Linked DNA regions of Drosophila melanogaster. The protein of the gene in region 1 interacts with the protein of each later gene in a biochemical or structural test. Each region holds a gene or a part of one and is shown on either strand. Other genes may lie near its edges. The genes, in order: Ubi-p5E, LUBEL and CYLD.

The links.
Region 2: of the proteins of Ubi-p5E (region 1) and LUBEL, one has a biochemical effect on the other in vitro, tested with the Drosophila melanogaster proteins (one study listed by BioGRID).
Region 3: of the proteins of Ubi-p5E (region 1) and CYLD, one has a biochemical effect on the other in vitro, tested with the Drosophila melanogaster proteins (2 studies listed by BioGRID).

What each region holds. Positions count from the first base shown.
Region 1 is NC_004354.4:6,275,035-6,282,825, reverse strand, and holds Ubi-p5E (Ubiquitin-5E), read left to right. Parts: upstream 1-3,178; 5' UTR 3,179-3,690; intron 3,691-4,072; 5' UTR 4,073-4,077; coding exon 4,078-5,682; 3' UTR 5,683-5,950; downstream 5,951-7,791. Other genes in the region: CG11700 (uncharacterized protein), read left to right, coding at 1-548; CG3566 (uncharacterized protein), read left to right, coding at 6,187-6,294, 6,368-6,456, 6,530-6,598, 7,656-7,743.
Region 2 is NT_033779.5:6,766,957-6,774,581, reverse strand, and holds the start of LUBEL (linear ubiquitin E3 ligase), read left to right. Parts: upstream 1-3,613; 5' UTR 3,614-3,696; intron 3,697-3,872; 5' UTR 3,873-3,937; coding exon 3,938-3,991; intron 3,992-4,048; coding exon 4,049-4,247; intron 4,248-4,311; coding exon 4,312-4,448; intron 4,449-4,500; coding exon 4,501-4,629; coding exon of another isoform or gene 4,630-4,653; exon of another isoform or gene 4,654-4,745; intron 4,746-4,845; coding exon 4,846-5,184; intron 5,185-5,454; coding exon 5,455-5,736; intron 5,737-5,789; coding exon 5,790-6,078; intron 6,079-6,136; coding exon 6,137-7,324; coding exon of another isoform or gene 7,325-7,371; exon of another isoform or gene 7,372-7,486; intron 7,487-7,568; coding exon 7,569-7,625.
Region 3 is NT_033779.5:10,294,457-10,303,641, forward strand, and holds CYLD (cylindromatosis), read right to left. Parts: upstream 5,392-9,185; 5' UTR 5,291-5,391; intron 4,765-5,290; 5' UTR 4,749-4,764; coding exon 4,588-4,748; intron 4,534-4,587; coding exon 4,325-4,533; intron 3,958-4,324; exon of another isoform or gene 3,673-3,957; coding exon of another isoform or gene 3,567-3,672; exon of another isoform or gene 3,522-3,566; intron 3,481-3,521; coding exon 3,249-3,480; intron 3,151-3,248; coding exon 2,975-3,150; intron 2,915-2,974; coding exon 2,760-2,914; intron 2,701-2,759; coding exon 2,482-2,700; intron 2,404-2,481; coding exon 2,169-2,403; intron 2,110-2,168; coding exon 1,968-2,109; intron 1,913-1,967; coding exon 1,716-1,912; intron 1,655-1,715; coding exon 1,461-1,654; 3' UTR 1,403-1,460; downstream 1-1,402. Other genes in the region: hand, read right to left, coding at 18-173, 407-603, 753-843; CG13138 (uncharacterized protein), read right to left, coding at 5,766-7,403, 7,488-7,499; nmd (no mitochondrial derivative), read right to left, coding at 8,215-9,142.

The DNA.
Region 1 (7,791 bases):
TCTTCGGCGGAAAGCACCTGGAGAACGGACGCACTCTGTCCGACTACAACATCCAGAAGGAGTCGACCATTTACTTGGTCCTGCGTCTGCGTGGTGGCATGCAGATCTTTGTGAAGACCCTCACTGGCAAGACCATCACCTTGGAGGTCGAGCCATCCGATAGCATTGAAAACGTTAAGGCCAGGATCCACGACAAGGAGGGAATCCCCCCAGATCAACAGCGTTTGATCTTCGCCGGAAAGCAGTTGGAGGACGGACGCACTCTGTCCGATTACAACATCCAGAAGGAATCGACCCTTCACTTGGTCCTGCGTCTGCGTGGTGGCATGCAGATCTTTGTGAAGACCCTCACTGGCAAGACCATCACCTTGGAGGTTGAGCCATCCGATACCATCAAACACGTCAAAGCCAGGATCCACGACAAGGATGGAATCCCCCCAGATCATCAGCGTTTGATTTTCGCCGGAAAGCAGCTGGAGGACGGACGTACTCTGTCCGACTACAACATCCAGAAGGAGTCGACCCTTCACAGTCACTTTAAGTGGTAGAGAGCGAAAACAAATTAACCCACCGTGAGGGAGAGAGCAGGCGGCGAATTTCCAGTCAACTTATACCTATACCTATAAATACCAGCGCGCTGCTGTAAAACGAATCGTAAGCTGTGAAAAAGTCGTAGAGAGCGGACGTCCGAGCAAGTGAAGAAAGCAAGTTTTTGAATATTTCAAAAAGTGCAGACCAAATGTAAAGAAATAAATTAGCTTTTCTGTGCGAAACAGGAAAAAAATTCCGGTTAGTTTGGCAAGTGTTTCATAGTTTTTTTTAGTTGCTTTTAAAATGCCGAAGCAACAAGTGCAGTAAGCGAAAAAGGGTGCATTCCATGCATCTGTGTGTTTTTTTTATATACGGCAGGAAAATGAAATTCAAAGATACCGTCCACCGTCCGTAGATGGCATGCACGATTCATAACTCTCAGCTAGAGAATTATGCCTACGTACTAAACAAAAATCTCTGATCTCTCTCCTGTCCTTGTCAAGCTCACCGGCACTGCCAGTCAAAGTATTTTATCGGTGAGCAGGTCATGGTCAGATCCGACGAGCGATGCGGAGATCGTGATGGGGACTTTGTTCCCGCCCTTGAGGAGGCACGCTAATGAAGTCCATCGTCTTCTGGCTTGTGGCAGTCATAGAAGCTGTAGGGGCCAAAGTCTCCACATCTACAGCTGCACTGCAGTCGCTAGTTTTCGGCTGCTTGCTCACCCCTCGCTCCGTGAATTGGAGTTCGGACTCCTCTTGTAGGGGATCTCGATAGGCTGTAGCTCCTCCTGAACGGGTCGTTGGGATCGGGCACTGCCTCCCCTGTTCTGTCCATCTGATCTAATGGGCGGACTACGGCTTGTTGGTCACCAACGTTAGAAAGGGATCCATTGTGGGCCACGGATTTCTCCCTGGCGTTTTACCGGTGGAGGTTTATGCCGCCTCTAATCGGACACCAGAGCCTTTGCTTAGGCATCAGAACGGCGAGAGGATGATTAGTTGTCTGTCCGCGACCTTTAAGCCTTTTCCCTTTCTAAGAGGTTGTTCCGCTCCGAAAGAATCAAAACATGTTTAAATTCTTAATTCAAATTTTAATTTTAATTCAAATTAATTAATCCAAATTCGAATTTGAGCATGAACACACTTGTCGTGTGTGTGTGTGTGTGTGTGTATGCCCAGTTCCAGGGGATTTTATTATTATTTTTTTTTGACTAAGTTAGAGATTAGTCACCAAACCTAAATTTACTGTAAATTAACGAAAAAACCAATAATGTTTGTTTTCTGTATGTGTATGCTAAAATACTCTTCTGGGTCGCGGGAATTGGGTCACTACGCAGAAAATCAATTTCCTTCCACTTTCCATTACTCAGCCAACTTTTTTCCTTTTCCATTTCTCCACTCGCAGCCAATATGCAAATTTTCTTTAAGACTCTGACCGGCAAGACCATCACTTTGGAGGTTGGACCATCCGATACCATTGGGAACGTCAAGGCCAAGATCCTAGACAAGGAGGGAATCCCCCCAGATCACCACGTTCACCATGCGAACGGAGGTGGAGCGCATGCTGACGTTGATTGCCCAGGGATCGGCTAACTTTCAGGATGTTTTGCGACACGCCATCAAGATCTTCAAGCTGAAGTTTATGTACTTTGTGAAGAACATCGACAGCATGGACGCACTGTTTCAGGTATCCTTCTCGCCGCTGGCCGAGTCGGGCATTGCACTGCTCTACCGGCAAGATTGCACTGCTCTCATTGCGATGAGACATACGCCCTGCCCATTGGAATGTGAAGGTGTATCGCGAGTTCAAGTGCCCGCTGGATGATCTGCTGGCTTTCTCCACTGGCGTGAAGGGGCGTTCGTATCCGTTCTGCCCGTACTGTTACAACCATCCGCCGTTCAGCGACATGCCCCACTTGGGGGGCTGCAACACCTGCACGAACGCCAACTGCCCGCACTCGCTGAACACGCTGGGCATCTCCAGCTGCGTGGAATTCCATAATTGTAAAACATTTCTTATATTTGGATCCATAAATACATTAATTTATTTCTTAATATAAAGCAAACTTAATGAAATCTCGTGTAACTTGGAACTATTTTATAGTAAGAAGCTACCAATTCCAAAAAAAACTTCACTTTTTTGGAAGGAAAAACTTTATTTTGTTTTTTTTTTTTTGTCATATCATGGGGAATACATGTACACTGGATTGTTAGTATGAGAAATTCATGACAATTATTTGAATAATTGTATATATTATCCTATATCTTTAGTTTGTACTTAAAGAGTTAATAACGTTTACTATTTTAAGGGGTTACATCAAGGGTTAAGCTGCTGAAATCAGCATACATCAGATTTCATCAGACCCTTCCATTCCTGGAACTTTCCAGATGCAATTGTAATGCATATGTACATATGGAAATAGCATTGTACGCATACTGGCTTATGTGCGAGTGGGTTGGTGGGAAATTTTAAATTGTTGGGCTCTCTTGTCTAAAGGCTGATGACCAAAGCGAAGACAAATCTCCCAGGCGGCGTCAAAACAAAAAAAGGTCGATTAACTCGCCAAACAAAGAACGTCACAAGAAGATGTCTGTGCGTCTACATGCATACATATGTATGTATATACAAATTTATACACCTCCCTCTGTTAGAATACACACACAAACGCATACACTTCAACAGCTGAGATTAGTGTTGGAAAGAGGGTCAGGCAACTTATCGATAACTCCGCTCTCTCGCTCACGAGAGCGAGCGAGATAAAAGCAGTGCACATATGCACTACGCATTTTGTTTTCAATGCCCAATTTTGCGTATTGCAGCTAGCCAATTGATTGGCCTTCATGTGTTAAATACTCTTGTCAATGCGAAATCTCATTTCCAATAGACTAGACAAAAGAAACGGTCACTTTAAGTGGCAGAGAGCGAAAACAAAGTAACCTACCGCCCGAGAGTGAGCGAGAGAGCAGGCGACGACTTTCCAGTCAGCTGCCTATAAATACCAGCGTGGGGCTGCGAAACGAATCATAAACTGTGAAAAAGTCGTAGAGAGCGGACGTCCGAGCAAGTAAAATAAAAGCAAGTTTTTGAATATTTCAAAAAGTGCAGACCAACAGTAAAGAAATAAATTAACTTTTGTGTGCGAAACAAGAAAATAAGGTGAGTTCAGTTTGGCAATTGCTTAATAGTTTTTCTTAGTTGCATTCAAAATGGCGATGCAGCAAGCAGAAAACGGTGCTTTCCATGCTTCTATCTATGTGTGTGTGTGTGTGTGTGTGTGTGTGTGTGTGTGTGTATGCCCAGTTCCAGGGGATTTTTTTTAACGAAGTTAGAGATTAGTCACCAAAACTAAATTTGCCATTTCATGGCGAAATAATGCAAGCTGTGAAAACATTAACGAAAAAACCAATAATGTTTTCTGTATGTGTATGCTAAAATACTTTTCTGGGTCACGGGAATTGGGTCACTACGCAGAAAATCAATTTCCTTCCACTTTCCATTACTCAAGCCAACTTTTTCCCTTTTTCATTTCTCCACTCAGGCAATATGCAAATTTTCGTTAAGACCCTCACTGGCAAGACCATCACTTTGGAGGTTGAGCCATCCGATACCATTGAGAACGTTAAGGCCAAGATCCAGGACAAGGAGGGAATCCCCCCAGATCAGCAGCGTTTGATCTTCGCCGGAAAGCAGCTGGAGGACGGACGCACTCTGTCCGACTACAACATCCAGAAGGAGTCGACCCTTCACTTGGTCCTGCGTCTGCGTGGTGGCATGCAGATCTTTGTGAAGACCCTCACTGGCAAGACCATCACTTTGGAGGTCGAGCCATCCGATACCATTGAGAACGTTAAGGCAAAGATCCAGGACAAGGAGGGAATCCCCCCAGATCAGCAGCGTTTGATCTTCGCCGGAAAGCAGCTGGAGGACGGACGCACTCTGTCCGACTACAACATCCAGAAGGAGTCGACCCTTCACTTGGTCCTGCGTCTGCGTGGTGGCATGCAGATCTTTGTTAAGACCCTCACTGGCAAGACCATCACCTTGGAGGTCGAGCCATCCGATACCATTGAGAACGTTAAGGCCAAGATCCAGGACAAGGAGGGAATCCCCCCAGATCAGCAGCGTTTGATTTTCGCCGGAAAGCAGCTGGAGGACGGACGCACTCTGTCCGACTACAACATCCAGAAGGAGTCGACCCTTCACTTGGTCTTGCGTCTGCGTGGTGGCATGCAGATCTTCGTTAAGACCCTCACTGGCAAGACCATCACCTTGGAGGTCGAGCCATCCGATACCATTGAGAACGTTAAGGCCAAGATCCAGGACAAGGAGGGAATCCCCCCAGATCAGCAGCGTTTGATTTTCGCCGGAAAGCAGCTGGAGGACGGACGCACTTTGTCCGACTACAACATCCAGAAGGAGTCGACCCTTCACTTGGTCTTGCGTCTGCGTGGTGGCATGCAGATCTTCGTTAAGACCCTCACTGGCAAGACCATCACCTTGGAGGTCGAGCCATCCGATACCATTGAGAACGTTAAGGCCAAGATCCAGGACAAGGAGGGAATCCCCCCAGATCAGCAGCGTTTGATTTTCGCCGGAAAGCAGCTGGAGGACGGACGTACTCTGTCCGACTACAACATCCAGAAGGAGTCGACTCTTCACTTGGTCCTGCGTCTGCGTGGTGGCATGCAGATCTTCGTTAAGACCCTCACTGGCAAGACCATCACTTTGGAGGTCGAGCCATCCGATACCATTGAGAACGTTAAGGCCAAGATCCAGGACAAGGAGGGAATCCCCCCAGATCAGCAGCGTTTGATTTTCGCCGGAAAGCAGCTGGAGGACGGACGCACTCTGTCCGACTACAACATCCAGAAGGAGTCGACCCTTCACTTGGTCTTGCGTCTGCGTGGTGGCATGCAGATCTTCGTTAAGACCCTCACTGGCAAGACCATCACCTTGGAGGTCGAGCCATCCGATACCATTGAGAACGTTAAGGCCAAGATCCAGGACAAGGAGGGAATCCCCCCAGATCAGCAGCGTTTGATTTTCGCCGGAAAGCAGCTCGAGGACGGACGCACTCTGTCCGACTACAACATCCAGAAGGAGTCGACCCTTCACTTGGTCCTGCGTCTGCGTGGTGGCGCCATCTAGATTTTTTCACCCTTATAAAAATTGAAGTTAGTTAGTTGTGCCACAGGGCATAACTCAAGAATTCATACTAAGTTTTAGTAAATTGGTTTATTCAAAGGCACAAAATAATCAATCACAATAATTATTGGTATTCGAAGAATAAAATTTTCAATTTGTGTGTTCAATGTAATACTCTATGTAGTTTTTATCTGTGTTTCCCAGGGTTTTTAATTTTGTGGGGGATTCTTGATAGAAAGTTGCAATAAACATTGGATGGCGTTGGAGTGGTGGATTTAATTTGAATATTTAAATTTGTAATACTCTATTGTATTTTACTGGAATTGTACCACAGGTACATTGGAATTATTGCTTAGGTACCTTATGTGGTATATTTGGGGTATTTTGTGTGACCAGCTGACTCCAACGAAAAGTGGAGCCGGCCACACTGGAATAGTCCGAAAACCTGTTAGCTTGCGTTATTTAGTTAAATTTGCGGAGAAGAGCAGGCAGGCGCAGTCAGGCAAGATGAGCAAGGAAATCCGTTTGGCCACCGTCAACGAACACAACAAAGCCACGGATCTGTGGGTGGTCATCGACAACAAGGTCTACGATGTGACCAAGTTCCGTCTCGAGGCAAGTGGCGATGCAGATTGTTGGTTTTAGGGGGGGGTGGCGAATCCATCTAATTCGATGCCCTTATCTCCAGCATCCCGGTGGCGAGGAATCCCTGGTGGATGAGGCCGGTCGCGATGCCACCAAGGCCTTCAATGACGTGGGTCACAGCTCGGAGGCGAGGTTAGAGAGTCCATCTTATAGCCAGTGCGCCTGGATCACCTGATTCACATTTCTTCCCCACTTGCCTTTTCAGAGAGATGTTGAAGAAATACTACATTGGTGACCTGGCTGCTGCGGACATCAAGAAGAAAAGCCCAATTAGGTGAGAATCCTGTCCAGCAAGTGCATGCAAAGACCCAACCAAGCCAAAATGCCATATCATCATGTAAATAAAGAAAGCCCTGCGGATTTCCCTTCTCCGCTCCCACACGGATTGATCTCCTTATCTCGCTAGAACACCAGTATTCCTGATAAGGCATTTCATCATCATCATTTCGTACGCTCCACTTTCCTTAATGCATGAAGCTCCTATTCCGACCACAACCGGTTTCGCATGAGCATGGCCTGCGTTTCAATCAATAAGTACAATTAGCCAACTCTTATGTAATCCATTAATTGCCTCGAAGCCCCCAAAGTTTCACGCTTCACGTGTCCTGAAAGTCTCTATTTCGTACACTTTTTGGTGTACTACTTTGATACCCTTTGATACGATTGGATACCCTGAAGAAGATAATGATGATACAGAAGTGTTCCTTAAATTATATCAATTATTTATATTCCCATATAGAGTATCAACTTTTTCTTTACCAACCGCTAACAAAGCCACAATACTTAATATTTAATGAATCTAATGAATCTCAACTTGCATGTATGATATTTGCTCCATTCAAGATTTAATTCCTTCTCAAGCACGAAAATAAGGTTCTACAAAAGCTAGTTGGACTTGTAAGTTCTAACCACTGACCTGTGTACATATATTACCCATCATGATTAACCCAAAGCACACGTCAAGCAACTGGAATTATGTACATATATAAATGTGATAATCTAGAATACCAACAATTTGCACGCTGTAATTGGTCACTCTTTGGTTTTGTGAATGGCACCCCACCTTGACTTGCGTTTTTATTTTGATTCTTGGTTCTGTGCCTTGGTAAAGTGCCACGCCTACTGATGCCGCCGCCACCCCCAAGCAATGCTGCATCCTAAGTTAAATCAACCCCTCTAGAAATGCCTGCAAAACCGTGTAATCCTAGCTAGCTAACCAAAGTGCACCCAGTTTTGTTGTTGTGACACCCAGTCGGTCGGAGTGCCTTATCCTGACCATGATACTCCCATTGATTTAAACCGCCTTTCATATTCTCTATTCCATGCAACAGCTGCCGTCATGTGGCACTGGCCCTGGGCGCCGCCTTCATCGGCATCTCGCTGGTCTATGTGATCCGACGCGGTGTGGCCAGAAACTAGTCTGCGGCCGGACTGCATTACGAGATTCCAGATATATTCCCCCAATTT
Region 2 (7,625 bases), on another chromosome or scaffold:
GCAACTGCTGATGCTTCTGGTATCGATTTTTCATTTGCCTGCATGTCATACACACTGGGTGAAGGTGAACATTGCACTGCAGTTTTTTTGGCGCACTTCATGTACTTTGCAAGCTTAAATTCTTGTACCTTAAATTCGTCACCCTTTTTGATTAATTTTCATTATTATTTTTGCCAATTTATGCAACTTTTTGCTAAGCAAACACTCAGCTTCTTTTGTTTTAAATATATACCTGATTGAATGATCGTAGGTTTTTGGGCTACTAAACTAGTATAGGGCAAAGTAATGTCAGGATAATCGGTAAATTATAAAGGCACTTTTTTAACGCTTAATTTTTCGCACGTACTGCTTGAGCGCCCAACTGGGATACTACTAGTAAATTCTCAATTCCCCTGGCCCACAACTACACACTCTCTCACACACACTAGCGCACGCACACGCCCCTTTTGTACACGCAACACGATGGCGGCAGGCTAACCGTAAATATTTTCCTTTGAGTTTTCCACTCGCGTCCATTGCCTGCAGCGAACATTTCGCGAATGCAGCCGGAAAATGCTGGCCAAAACTCAGGGGTTTCGTTAACATTCGAAGGGCTTTACGTTCGCAGCTGTTATCGATTGCAAGAAAATCTACATAATATCTACATGCCACTTCGAATAGAATATTGCTCGGGAAAAGCTCGGCCGGAAAATGGCGCGCGATTTCTACACAAGCGCTCATGGGAAAGCTTCCCGAATGCTTTGCAGTGGCCGAAGGAGAGGAACCCGGCATTTTAACTTGTTTACATACAGCTGACAGTCAGCTGATCCTGAAAACATCGGCTTGCGTCAAACGCGGCAAGGTCACTGCGTGGGCGGCCCACCCATTTTTGCAGGATGGTGGGCAAATGGTCTCCCAACCGAAAATGTGCGTGCCGGCAATTGTCGAACTTTGACTTTGTCGCGCAGCCAATTTATTATGCATTGTATTTATTTTTAGACCAGCTAGCTAGGAAAACCGAAAATGGACCCACCCACGGAGGCTTTAATTCCATAATTCCCATCCATCGTCCATCCATCGAAATTGCCACTCGATTTGCACCTCCGGCCGGCAGCAGGTGGCCCATGGCGATGCTTTTATTGCTGATACCATTTGTTCGATCCAAAATTAATAGATGTTCTTCTTTATTGTTAGCATTAAATGTGCAGAATTTGTTCAAGGCTAAACTGCGGGAGATCCCTTCAGATACTTGTTTTTCATAAATCATAATTATAGCTGGCGTGTATCCCGATGAACGATTCAGCGCTTTCCCCAGGCGCCACGGTTTTTTGGATAAAATATTAGATAAATAATAAGAATTAATGCGGAAATATTTATGTTATCTGAAATTCCATTGAACTTGAACTTTGGTAATGATATATGTAGGTACGCCATAAAGTTCAATAGTCGATCAGATCGCAGGACATCAATTCGATACAATTGTCATATTTTCATTCATGAAAAAGAAACGCAACAAGTAATCAGTTCCGTATAACAACGTAAAATGTTTAACAACAAATAGCTGAGAATGATATATATTCGAGAATTAATGATATTCACACACGCGACGGCGTCTCGCAGTCAAAATGTTCTATGCCGCTCGAAAACGATGTATTTATAAAACAACGCGAAAATGCTGAAAATAGGAAAGAGATGCGACTGATCGAGGATTGAGGGGATCACCAGGGGGAAACCGTACCAGACGAGACCAGAGGAGCACATAGATCTGCGTTGACTTCCTCCTACTCGGGCGACGACTGGGGACCGCGGACTGCAGTAAAAGTGCTGTTTAGAATCTGATTGAGATTTCAGTTCGCTGGGAGACGATCGTCGAACGAGACCGTAGCTGAATTTTCATGTCGCGCTGTGGCTAGATATCAGGAAAATATATATATCCCTATATATATATATATATATATATATATATATATATATATATATATATTCATGTGCTACCAGCTGGCAGTGGCAGTTTTGAGTGCGGCAAGACGCGTCAAGTGAAATCGAATTATGTAAGTGACCTCTGATTTCGCGGATATCCAACCGTTCATGGTCGATCGAATCCATTACGAAAGTTCAAAAGCCAATTTAAAATCACACCGCAATTAAATCGATCTCAAGTGTTCTAAATATAAAACTCAGCTAATTTTAAACGCGGAGAACGCTCTCCATGGGAAAGTTCAAGGCATTGGCCGGGATAAACAATCAAAGCGTAAAATAAAGTATACAAAATTAAATCAAATTTTTTAAGCTAATTTGCCAATTTGAAATAATGAAAAACTGTGAACTAAAAAAAAAAACGCAAATATAGGCAAGCCAAAGAAATGTTTAAAAATAGTTCCCACCGTTCGTTCTCCTATAAAAATAAAACTTTTTCCCTCGCCGCGTGAGTCTGTGTCTGTGAGTCAGCGTTGCGTTTGCCTCTTGCCAGGCCACTTGCCACTCGAAGTCGCCGCACGGAGCAGGCCGATCTTCTGGGCGGGATTGAGGTGGCACCGGGCCATGCCCCTCCCACCACTGCAGGCGGCTTTCATAAATATTGCTGCACAGTGTGACACAATTTCGGGGCAAATGTATGGAGTGGCTGCGGATGGTTTCAAAAATAGCGCAACAGACACGGGAGTGCAGGCCCAGCGAACACGTTGCGTATACGCAATGCGAGAGAACAGTGTGGCTTGATTTTTGCTATGCTGGCTGAGGCGTCGCGACTCCGAAATTTATGGATAAATTTTATGGCTCGTTACGCACTTAACTAGTGCGTGGAAAATATGCCAGAGCTGCTGGATTAATATATGCTCTAAAAGATATTATTGAGATATAAAACATATTCAATAAACGGGAAATTGTCTCAAAGTATCAGGAATATAAAATGTAGTAAGGAAAACTTTGAAGTGCAGATATGTATATTAAAAAGTTTAATTAACATTCAATCTTAACTTACAAGAATATGCAAGAGATAAATGATTCCTTGGTATCATAGATACACATTTCATAAAACATGAAGAAACATAGATATCTAATAAGTTAATTATATATGAAATATTTAGTTATATACATATAACTTTTACCGGTGCGTTGCCCTTTGAGTTGAAAAGTTTGATGCCTTGGACGCAATTATAGTAAACTTAAAATATATACTAAAGTCAGCATTTGAAATACCTTTACTAATGGAATTATTATGTTGTTTAGGCCATTATTTAATTTAAACTATTTGGCAACGATTTGGCCACCTGCGTCATTACCAAATGCATATTCGCTCAGCTTTTAGTCAATATTTTCCCTCTCTCTGTTAGTTTTATTCGCTCGCTTTTATTTTCAAGCATTTACATGAAATACTCTTCTATTCGAAACTTTTGAGAACTATTTTCAAATTCGAATTCTTCTCCCTAGTCTAATCTCTTTTGCAATTTTCTTGGCATCTCAGCCACTTAGCCGCGTTGACAGAATGAGTCGATTGAGTCACAAAACAGCACTTCCCTCTTTCGCATGATTTCATAAATAAACAAGACCGAAAATGTTATGCCAAAATATATACATTTTTCAATTTTTGTTTTCTATGCACCGAAAGATATTTTCGACTACATTTAGCGTTTTTATTCGCGATCGAACTGTGGCAGCGTTTAGTTTTGTGCACGGCATCCACGAAACTGCATTTTGGTCATTGGCTTCGGAATTTGGGTGAGCCAGCTAAAAATATGCATTCATAATTCGCATTTTCTGGCACTTTGCTTAATTGAATTTGAAGTCGTTTGAAGTGGCTGCGGTTGGGCGAAAATATGGCACAGGGTATTTGCGATCTATAAATAATTATAATAATATTAATATTTTGCTGCTTACGTATTTCGATGAAATAGAAAACCAATCAAGCGCAAAAAGACGATTAAGTGACGGCAAAACCCAGACGAAAAAATCGACCAAGATGACGACCCACCAGTTGCTAAACAAGAATGTTCGCACCATGCCCTCCTGGGTGGTAAGCCAATATCCAGTTTGCCAGTCAATATCCAATTGCACTAATTACCCATTTCAGATGGAGGCAAATGACCGCATTGGGCCCAAACCGCCACCCACGCCACCAAACGGTGTGGCTGGTGGTCTTCCCAAGGCGCCTGCTCTGCCGCCCAAGGCGAAGAGCACTCCCGAGCCGGACTACGAGATCATCGAATTCTCCAGCCAGCAGTACTCCAACGAACCGATGAAGACCACAGTGATCAGAACCAAGACACCAGGTGGGCAACCTTTTTATATATTCCACTTATTTAAAATACTACCAGAGATAATTATCACTTGCAGATAACAAACTAAAGTGCACCTTGTGCGGTTCCCAGAATCCCTGGGTAACCTGTGCCGAGTGCGCCGGCCAAATCTTTTGCGCCTCCTGCGACGACATGTTCCACAAGCATCCCAAACGTAAGCAGCACATGAGAAAGGTAAGTTCTCCCGATCCATTATGAATTTGAACTTAAGAACTTCGTTTTGCAGGCTGTGGAGCAGGGCACACCGCCGATTCCGCCAAAGGCACAGGCCGGTGGTGGGGCACCACCACCAGTGGCACCTCCACGACGCAGCAAACGAGGCCTTTTGACACCGTTTCTGGGCCGCAAGGATCAGGTACGCCACTGCACGATCTCCTAGACCCGTAAGAAAGGCTCCTTCATGGGCTACACGTAGTACCAAGTTTGTAAACTTCAATTTGAATGCTTCAATAAAAGAGTCCTTACAACCAGAACGCCCGACCAAAATTGTAGAAACAGCGATCCAGACATACTTTTTCAATTGTTACCCGAATACCCATACGAAATGGCACCCAACCCGACTCTTTTCCAGATGCTGCCGCCGCCCTCGCCCACGCCCTCGCACAAGTCGCTGGGCGGCTGGCGGGGATCGCTCGGTGGCGGGGCCACGCCCCCAGTGCCACCAATTGCCACCAGCTCTGCCAACCAGATGAACAACCGACCACTGCCCGATCCACCGCGCAGCGAGGGCGGGGGATCTTCCAGATCGGGCACCCCCAAGTCCGTGTTCGACACCATCCAGCGACCGCCGTCGGTGCAGCTGGAGAAGATCAAGAGCAAGGCCAGCGCCACGCTGGACCGCATGGCCATTCTGCAGCAGCGGTACCGCCAACAGAAGGCTCGCCAGGATCTGAGCGCCAACAGCGAACAGGTGAGTGACCCGTTGACCCCGAATCACAATCGTACGAGTCCCCTCATCACTGAGTGTATCGTATTGTCTTTGCTCGGCGAAAATTGTGTCAAGGATCAGTTATAATTGTAAATGAAATGTTAATTTATTAATCATTGATCCTTGATAGTATTTGATCCTTGCACTTCGTATCGTATCGTCTCGTCTCGTTTCGTCATGTGTCGTTTCTCCCTTTCCTCTCTCTCTCTCTCTTTCTTTTTCCGTTTCTCGTTGGTCATTTCCCAAGCGCAGCATTTGTCGAATGAAGCCGGCTTCGAGCACTGGTCAAACATTTCACCATCGCCCTCGCATTTTCGTTCCGGCAGCATGTCATCCGGCCTGAACTCATCCCATTTCGATCTCTCGGATGACTCACAATTTCACAATTCCTTGCTGCTCCAACAACGACAGGCGGCCGGCGCCCAGCGGCGACAGATGAGCACATCGGTGTTCAATCTCAACTCGAATCCACGTCGACCACTGTCCGAGGCCCAAAACGGAGGTGCCTGGCTCGCCAATCAGCGCATCCAGCAGGTGAGTTAGAGTTTCATGCTCCCTTAGAAACTAAGATACCATCCCGCTTGCAGGCCCAATCCCTGGCGCAGCTAAACTGCGCTGGATGTCAACAGAGTCAGCAGCATCCTGGCTGGGCACAGCATCCGCACCAAGCACTTCCTCAGCACCAGCATCCCGATCAGTGGTCACAGTTCGGCTCCCAACAGCAATTCAACAACTCCAATCTGTCCCTGAACGTTGGACCGGGTTACATGTCGCAGCAACATCATCCACACTATCCGCCACCAGTGTTTATGACCCAGCGTGGTATGATGCCCAATGTGTATCCAGGAGCACCAGGCTATCCCATGATGCATCCAGGTAAAATGAGGCACTATTAGTTATATTTTAATTTACATATTGCACTTTAAATGCGCAGGTGTCATGGGAATGCCACCTTCAGCTGCCTCCAGAGCTGCATCCCGTTCCCGGTACGCTGCATCACCAACACCCAGCCGCAAATCGATGTCCTTGCGTCGCAAGCGCAATAGCTACGTGGATGACGAACTTACGGATGACGAGGACTCCGACCAGGATGACCGCAGATCTTTGGTGTCCAATCGCTCGGGCATGACTAGTGCCTCGCGCTCCCAGCATCACCAAAACCATATCCAGCCCCGCCAAAGGCGCCTGTCCAGTGCCTCCCAACTCATAGCCAGCGATGAATTGGACGGCGATCAGGTGCATCACAAGATGCGGAATCGTCGGGGATCCATTGCCAAGTCCGTGCAGAGTGAGTGGCTACCGGAGCGACGGGAAAATGAGGGAACCCTTACCAGAAACAAAACAGCAACGGACTCGGCCAGAACCAGTCGCATTTACTCCGATCTGGAGTCTGAGGGATCGGGTGCTCGGGCCTTGGTTCAAGCTAAAATTCAGCAGAAGCTCCAAGAAGCCGATCAGCACAAATCCTCGAAGAAGGCTGAGCCAAAACGCAAGCCGGAGATGAAGGACGAGAATACACAGGCGGCAGCGGTGGTGCAAAAGGTGGTGGTGCCACCAGCCCATGAAGAGAGTGCCTCGGAATACGAGGAAGTGGTCGAAGAGGTAACCGCCTCAGAGAGTGAGGCTGAGGCTCAAACAGCACCCGATCCCCAGGAAGTTCCTGACGAGATTGGGGCTGATGATCTCGGCCCACCACCTTCTACCCCAGACCACGAATGGGAATGCGAGTTCTGCACGTTTGTGAACGAGCCCAACATCAAGATCTGCTCCATATGCTGCAAGACGCCCAGCAAACCTCCAGTGCAGCCCAACAAGGCCAAAAAGGTAGAGGAAAAACCACAGCCTCCAGCTGAAAAGTCTAACAATATCAAGGCGTCTTCCAAGACGGAAACTAAGCCAGTGCAAAAGCCTACTACAAAGAGCCAACAACCCAGTCAGAAATCCGTTGCTGCTCTTTCGAAGACTACTCACACCAACTCCACGTCTAGCTCAAAAGCGTCGCCAGCTGTAAACTCCAAGACCACCTCCAGTATTCCTATCAAGACACCATCGAAATCCACACTGAAAACTTCGTCGGAAAATGAATCCGATAACTCGCTGGCCAAGAGTCTTCTGCACAAAGGTAGGATACAAAAGAGAATCTCATTTTTCGAAGGCACAAAGACCTAAGCCCAACCACCAAAGACTATACCTAGTTAGTACACTAATAGAGCCATCAACTGTAAGCCTACAATTAACGCATTTATGGAAACGAAATACAAAAGAGAACCATAACCCAAGCCGCATTCCGTTTGTTTGATTTCAATCCGTTGGTGACCCCGATCCCGTTCCCCCAAAAGCTAATGCTCTCATCCGTATCGTTCCAGAGTCCGTTGAAAACATTTGGAATACTCTGGATGAGAGCATACAGGCGCAGGCGGAGC
Region 3 (9,185 bases), on another chromosome or scaffold:
GTAAATTACTCTCTTACTTGAATCTCTGATTTCAAACAGTGCTTCTTTTCGCTACAGATCTTTCGACTGACCGGCTTAAGTTCGGCTCGAAATCCGCCTTTTGGATCCAGATCTCCATCAAGAACATTAACTAAATAGTTTATGTACAATATGGCCAACTTCAATGTTTTAATCTGTCAAGTAAACCAAGCAAACGGACACAAACAAACTTCAAATTTATAAATAATTGAATAAGTTATTATAAAATATATTTTTCGCTGGCTATTTTATCTTAATTCTTAAACAAAGTAAAAGTAGAATATAGTTAAGATTGACTTAAGTAGGAAACATTAAAATCCAACCTTCATGTGCTTATTGGTGTATTTAAGTATTAAATTCAAGATTATCTATCCGTCGGTGAAGTTACCTTTGATAATTTAGTATCTGTAGGAACGTTGGGAATCTTTTCTCGCAGATAGGAAAACGCATTGTTTATACTTTGGGTTCGCCTTCTCTCCTTTTTGTTAGCTGTATTACGTTTCTTAACAATCCGAGTATTCGAAGTTGGCACATAACCTAGGTGACTTGTGTTATATATTTGTTGCTGAACTTGACTTTCGGAGTCTGAAATATTTGGAAAATATATACATTATTTTCCATACACACGAAAATATAAAATAAAAGTCGCTTTTGTACTGGAATTGGTACCACAAATCACTGTCCCAATTTTATTTAAATAACAGCGAAGTAAGAAGAATGATTTAAACATTTACGTTTCATGTCGAACATGTTGGAAGTATTATAAATTGAGTTATAATACATGGTTGAGTATTCGCACGTCAAGGCAACGGAATTCTTAAACATTTTCTAATTTAACGTAATTAAATTCAAATCAAATTCGCGGCTTAAGATCGACATTTTCGCAGATAGTGCGTCGCACGTAAAACTCGTCTTTGATGTCTGGCAAGTAACTGAAAAACTTTTTCACTTGTTTAGTGAATGTGCGCCGTCGAGTGAACAACATCTGGATATCCTCCCTCCAAATCCACCAATCGCAATCGCCGACGTTTTGCGTCGACCAATGGTGGGCACTTCAAGATTTATATGTATGTATGTACTCCCGTGTATACATACATCCATATATATCCGGAATATGAACTGCCTTTCATGGTCTAGTGATCCGTAGTTCTCTAGATGGTTCAGTCCTGTTTCTGGAGTCACCTTGAAAACTTCTCCTAACAAAAAGCACTTCCTAATTGTTACAAACTTTTTGTAAAAAAAATATAAGCTACTTGGTATATTAGTTATAGAAAACCACCTATCTTTATTTTTTCCTGTTATATATGTAAAGCCTACCCATATTAATATCATAAAACATATTTTTCAACAAACCAATAACCATTAATAGGCACAAAATCCATTTCACATGTGATTTTTACAAAAATTTTATTGCATTCATTTAATTTATTGATAAATTTGCTCTAATGGTACATCATTATATCTGTGCTTTGGTACAGACACATATAGGCATCGCAAAAAATACGCTTGGCGTGTTCAGGTAATACTTTATCGTTCGTTGAAGTTTCATTTATAGATCGTGCGCCTTCTTCCGAGAGCCACTGTGTTAATTCTGGAACACACGTAATTTCAGGTATATTGTATCCATTCTGTTCGCCTGAAATAACATTTGCGTAAGTATAAGAAACTTGTTAGGTTAAAACTAAGATTTTGCTTGCCTTTTCGATCAGCCATTGAATCGAAGAAACACCATGGAGCATCTGGTCCGGATCCAGACTTGACAAATGCCACGTAGTGAGATGTTTCTATGCAAACGACTGCAAATAACTCCATGTACAATCGCGGGACAACCATGTGCTCGGCCATGATTTTAAATTCCTTCGGACTATAAATCTTCTTCGACACATGATTCGTTCTGAAAGATAGGTTTTTAATTGGTTTTCATTCATTTATCTATGAAGATAGCTGACCTTTTGATGTGACTGTGAAATGTCTTGAGACATTTTGGACAAAAGGCGGTGCATTCCAGTCCTGATCCAGCCTGCAAGCTGCCAAAGCAATCCCGGCACTCGTATTCAGCTAGTTTGCCACAAAGTGAGCACTGTCGAGGAGCTGCAAGTTGAATTTTGTTAAGATTCGAAATGCAAATTGTTATATTGTTGAACACCTACAATTTTCAATTATGTCTGTGACATCAAGAACCTGCGATGGCAATATCCTTGGATACATCTTGTAGTTCTTTCCGAAACGAGGCATTTGAATGATGAAACAAGAAGGAACCTCCTTTAGTTTTATATCCGATGAGTGAAAGCTTTGCTCAAACAATTGTTGCACACTCGGTAATGTTAACTTCTCATCCTTCTCCACAAAGAGTTGGTAAAAATAAGAATCTTGCCCCGAGCTTAGCTACAAAAAAAAAAAAAAAAAAAAAACATGTAAATTATTTAGTATAAAAATCTATGCAATAATGAGTACAATAAGCACCTTTAGAAACGGTTCAACTCGCATTATTTGTGAGAGCAAACTATTTAGGAACTCTTCAGGATCCTTTTCCTCGCAGGTGAGACCGCTGACCGAACTTAGCTGATCTAGGAGCTCGCGCAGTTTCATCACACGATCGGATCGAACGAAAACGTTTTTTCGCAATGGATTGACGATCTCATCGCGCAGAACCTTTTGAACCTCACTGTAATTTCGAATATCCTGTTGAAAATAAAATAATTTGTTATTGGTGAGCTGGGCAGACAAATCGAATAACTTACTTGTGGGCCCGGACGTCTGTACAGAATTGAATCGAAAACACTGGTGAAAGTGAACATGGAAAATAGAGTTGCATCAAGGTAGCAGGAATTATGGTGTCCTTGTATTCCTTTGAACTTTCCACATATGCTAGCAAGCTCATCGGAATTGTGTATTTCTGGAAAACAAATAGCTGCATGAACTCCTTTCCTTTATTAAATGTTTATTGTTATCTTACGTAATGGTGGTATCGAGCCATATATGGCAGGACAGTCAGCGACGCCAAATTTCTTTGCGTGATTACTAGAAACTCTGTTTGCAGAAATGCTATTATCTACATCAGCAAATCGCCGGTCAGCGGTGCATCTGTTGGCTGGTACAAAAATAGCTCGACCATCATGGCAAGTAAATAAGCTAAAACAAAACACAACACAGAAGATATTTTTCAGTTAAGAGTTTTTCTTGTATGAGTACCTATTTATGTGTTTTAAATGTTTAAAAGTATGACATACCGTACGCCATTGTGTCTCCCATCCGATGCCACTACATTTTTCAAGTTGGATTCGTCTTCTACCTCGATTCCGACGAGTACGTTTTTTTGCGGGCCAGGCGGTATACCTATCCATCTCACAACGCCATATAGATCTTCACATACTCCAGGATTCGAGACTTCGACGAGGGAACCAATCGCTAGCTCGGTTCCAGGTATTTCAATCAGAGGTTGATAATCAGCGATTGTAAAACCTAGGACAAGAATAAAATTAAAATAAATTTTAATTTCTTAGAAAATCAAATTAAAAAAAGCGGAACGATTTCATAATAGATCATACCAAGTTCTTCGGGCAATAAATTTGGTGAATAAAATTCTAGCACTGTTAATGGAATATTATTGTGGATATCCGAGTCAGAAGACAATTTTTGTTGGTATATATTCATTTTTGAAAGACGCACAGCACAATTTTAATTTCTTTACTAATTTTTATGTTTTTTTTTTTTTCAGCAATTGAGAACTTTGATAAAGTGCAGAACAAATAAAACTCCTCGACAAACTGCATATATCAACTCAGAGAACTGCCGTTTTACGTGAACGTAAATAGAATATATGTATGTGTCGTTATGTATTTGGCCGGCGTTCTATAAATAAATAGACGTTTTCATTTCGTTGTCTTTTGCAAGGAAGCAAAGTGAATACAAGTCTTACAACAACTGTAAAGTATCGAGAATAAAAGATTCAATAACAGTGAACGCTATATTCGAAAGAAGCGACTATTACATACCTGTTTACTCAGCTAAAAGAAGTGCGATACACTTGAAAATAGACAACCAGCACAAGGAGTGATGTAGCAGGCAGAATTTGAATGTCTTTTGCAAGCAGTACAGAAGACTGCTTGAGTAATTCCACTAACTAGAACTAGCTTTTACAGTTCCTGAGATCTCGTTATTTATATGGACGGACAAACAGGATTAAGATTAAGAGAGCTAGTAAACCTGACCAAGAATGTAGCAGGTCGGAACAGATTCCTTCCTTAGTTCTTAATAATGATATATTTCTTTTCTTTTTGAAGAAATGACAGTAAAATAAACTTACGTAAAGGTTCCTCCGGCTCTATTTTTAATATGGGTGAGGCTGGTTTTAAAATTAAGTCTACAGAATTACTAGGATCCGTTTTACTTTTGTTGTTTAAGATCATTGCAGCTGGTCCCGCTCGTTTTGGCCAATTTGTGCCCAAAATGTCTGCCAAATCCACATCCTCAAGATGTTGATTATCGACGGCACTATGGTTGGCATCGGTGTTTCTAAAAATCGCTCATTATTAGCTTTAAATGAATTGAAACAGTTTTACTACGTACTTTAAAATTCCGTTTTTTCTGTTAGGAATCTTTTTCGGGTATACATGGGTCTTGTGCTCGCTCTCGTTGGATAGTTCATAGTTTTCCAGGGAGTCCCCGAATCTATTTGTTATGGTCAGCTTTTTTTCTTTTTCTGCTTCATAATCGGATTTGGAATTCATTATTTCCAACTAAAGGCTATAATAACATTTGTATTAGTAATTAAATAAAAAGGATATACAAAATGTATTGGTCATAAGTGTTTTTTTATGAAAAATTTTAAAGAGCATGCTATATATTTGGCAGAGAGTATTCTACAGTCGAGTTAAAACTGTTAAACGAAATAATCAATGATACTCGATGTGACGGATTCTGTTTGTAACTGCTTAGTTTGCAGTCGCTTACATACATATGTACATATGCACGTAAGTATGTAAGAGACATCAGGTTGCTGTAACAGTAGTTCAATAAACATTCCATTGTTTTTACGCTAATTTCAATCTTGCATTAAATATTTATTTGCCAAGGAGGACTGCACAGAACAAGTAACAGGAAATACATGCATAACAAACACAATTCGTTAGCAACTTTTCCCTAATTGATAAAAACAATGACACACAACAATCGCGACTACATTGGTTTAATAATATTGCTGTTCGCTGAAATACCAAATGACCAATTAAGTTTTTAGCGCAACCCTGTTTGAGTTTTAATACAAACACACATAAATTGAACTAACAAATAAAAAGGTGTTTATATCCTGGATTTTTGTTTAGTATTTATAAAATTTGTGTCTTTTAGAATGCGATTGGAATGAATTCTGGATATCGTTATCGATTTTACCGCAATCGACAATTGTTGGGGGTAATCTTGAACCAAAAAAATACAATACAGTCAAAAAAACAAAGTAATAACGGTTTAAAAACGGTTTTATTATATAGAATATGTAACAGTATATTGCGATTTGTTTGTCGTTGCTTGTTAGGCTTAGTATGTTTTATTGCTTATGAATTTTATCATAAACTTTTAACAACAACAAAATAAACAATTTTATATATTCTAATATGCATTATATTTTATATTAAGCAACTTATTTTTTAGCATTTTTTTTATTGTGGGGAAAAAGTCTTTTAAAAGTCTGTCAGGTATATAATAATTCTCTGAATAGGATTATTTACGCTAAACATTTGATTAGATTATCACTTTTGAGCACCTTCTGCTGAAGCGGATTGGATTGGCAGTTCCACATGTATAGGACTTTGAAAGGCCATTGGTTGGAGTTGTACAAACTGAAATGGTATGGAGAATGGCATACCGCGATAGGCATTAGCCGATTCCTGTGGACTTAGGTCTACGTTGGAGCTATTGACAAAGTCTGGAGCAGAGTTGGCGGTCTCCAAATCCTTTCCCGTGATATTGAAAGGAGTAGGGGGACCGACGAGTTTCAGGGAAACCCCATCCCGTCCAGGAGAAGTCGATTCAATGCTAGTTTTGGGTACGTATTCCTGGTTATACTGCGAATCAAAACTACTTTTTGTTACGTAATCGTGCTTAAATTGAGGATCAATACTACTTTTCGTCACGTAATCGTGCTTAAATTGAGGATCAATACTACTTTTCGTCACGTAATCGTGCTTAAATTGAGGATCAATACTACTTTTCGTCACGTACTCGTTTTTAAACTGCTGATCGAGATTAGTTTTCGTTGCGTAATCGTGCTTTAACTGTGTGGGCACGGAGCTTTGATAGTCCTCCATCCTCGGAGGATGATCCAATTCCCTAGATTTGTATATCCTGTTGTAGTAGTTTGAGGATGGTAGGCTGGATGGTTCGTGTTCTCTGGGCGGTGGATGATCCATTTCCATGTTAAATTTGAACTCCTCGCCGCGTGGATAACTTTCGTAGAGTGATGATGACTCGAACTTATATGGCTCGCTGGAACGAATGTAAACGGGAACCTTTCGTTCTACCTCAACCTTATAGGGCACTGGTACCTTCTTCTCGAGATGAACTGGCACCTTTATTTCGACCGGATACGGAACAGTCCGGAGCACTGGATACGGTTTCGGTACGTGGACTATTTTCTCAATTATCTTTTCGACCACATATGGTTTGGGCACTTGGACTGGCTTTGGGATGTGAATCACCTTTTCCACTATCTTTTCGATAGGCACGTGCACTATTTTCTCAACTGTAACATTCACCAGCTTGGGCACATGTACGATCTTCTCGACAATTTTCTCAATGGGCACATGGACGACCTTTTCCACGGGATACGGTTGTGGTACTGTTTTGATCAGCTCCTTTATGTGGTTGTGATGATGGTGGTGATGATGATGCTTGATTTTCACCTTCATCCGCTTCGCATCCTTCTTACTCGAGTGCTCGACATGTTCGTGCAGAATCGCTTGTGTTCCGACCTGTTCGGATGCCTGGTATTGACCATCGTCCTCATCGATATGCTCGTGGATCTCTTCGAATGTATGATAATGCCTACTTTCCGTACTCTCATCCGCATAATTGGGACTCACATTTTTTCTTCGAGCACCAGATGGCTTATATTTCAGTTTATTCCTCGTCATTTTATCGCCTTGCTTTTGATAGTTTTTCACACCGCGTTTCAAAGTCACATTGCGTTCGGTTTCCCGATTATAATGTTGCAGATCCAGCTTTTCCGATCTTCTTCCGGTATTGTGAGTAGATCCTTTTCCGTATTCAGGATAGCTCCACTCGGCACTTTCGACACTATTGGTTTTATTCACAGCATAGGAATTACTGTGTGCAGTACTTCCAATAATTATTAAGGTTATGAATAGGTATCCAGGAATCAAAGTTAACTGAAATAGAAAGGATGCGCGTAAATGAAGTATGTACATACAAAATATCTCCTATCAAAAAGACAAATTGGAAATATAGCTTACCATTGGGTTCATTTTTTGTTAAGTATATAGTCTCGCTTGGATTTGAAGTGGTTTAATCAACGCCTTCAACAGAAATGATTTGAGCCAATCGAAGAAAGTATTTATATGAGCACGAAACATAATTAAAATGTGCAGAAGCAAATTTCTTCGCTTGAAGTTTGTACACTCTATATTTTTCTTAAATTAAGAAATTATACAAAAACATCAAGAACTAATTTGTTTTGGTTTGATTATTTAAAATGTATGCATGTTTTTATTCATTTTTAATTAGATATACAAATGTGTAGCTTTGAAATGCCGTCAGAAATAAACGACCTTTTTAAAAGAGAATAAAACTGCACAAGTTTACTTATATTTTTTTTTACGATTGAAAGCCCACGGTCGCGTGACGCAAGTTGTGTGTGTGTTTGAAGAAGTGTACAAGTGCAATATCTTTATAAATGTTTGAAATTTCTCTAGGTGAATATTTCACAGAAGCCCGTAAATGTAATAATTAAAGTGCATTGAGCTCCGCTTTACGGAAATGCTATGGATTGTGTAATTTCCTGCAGTATCCGTTGCTGTTTTCAAGACTACCAAAACTACGTTTTCCGGATACCCATTTTGGAATGCAGAGAACAGGGTTAATTAACACATAACATTGGAGCTCCTCTCGAAAGGCAAATAAAAAGTTTATTATACAAATTTAAGTTGGATATATCGGGAGCTTGAATAAACAATGGTCAGCTTAATCTAATTCGATTCTATTCTCTAAGAATAGGCTGCTCGTGTGCATCTTTGATTCCTTAATTTTTAAGTGCGAGCCCAGCAAATCGTCCATGGTGATGCGGACGTTGTTGCGATCAAGCGCTGTAGCTGACGGATCTCTGGACGTGATGAGCTGCCTCATTCGGTAAACTGAAGCATTCCGGCACATTTCCCGCAGGTCTGAGCCCGAGAAGCCATTTGTGAGCTTGGACAAGCGATTCAAGTCGACATCCTGACTTACTTCCTCCGATTGGAGGATCAGCTTCAGGATGTCTTTTCGTTGGGTCTCCGAGGGCAGACCAATGTGGAATTGGGCTGGCATGCGGCGCACAATGGCCTTGTCTAAATCCTGCGGCCTGTTCGTGGCACCCATCACAATCACCGTCGAGTTGGCGTTCGTGCTGAGGCCATCCCACAGCATCATAAACTGGGTCTTCATCATGGCGGTAGCCTCGTGGTCGTTCATGTTTCGAGATCGCAAAAATGAGTCTATTTCGTCAATAAAAATAATGCATGGCTCGATTCGCGATGCAAGCGAGAAGACAGCAGAAGTCAATTTCTGGGATTCCCCGTACCACTTGTCGGTAAGAATGGCGACGTCCAAGTTGATAAAGCGCATTCCCGCCTCTTTTGCCGTCGCCTTCGCTATCAGCGTCTTTCCACAGCCCGGTGGTCCATGGAGCAGGACGCCTTTGGGCGCCTGCCACAGCTTCGAATGCTTGAAGAGATCCTTGTGCTGGATTGGCAGCACCACCGATTCCCGGAGCTCCTGAATGACTGAATCCAGACCGGCGATATCGGCCCAACTGACTGTTATGTCGGCGGGAACAACAAGATGTGACGCAATCATAAGCTCGTAGTCGCTAAACTCTTGCCCTCTTAGCTTGAAGCCCTCCTGCTCGGCTAGCCTGCATGGAAAAGGTTTACACATGTACAATATATGCTATATGA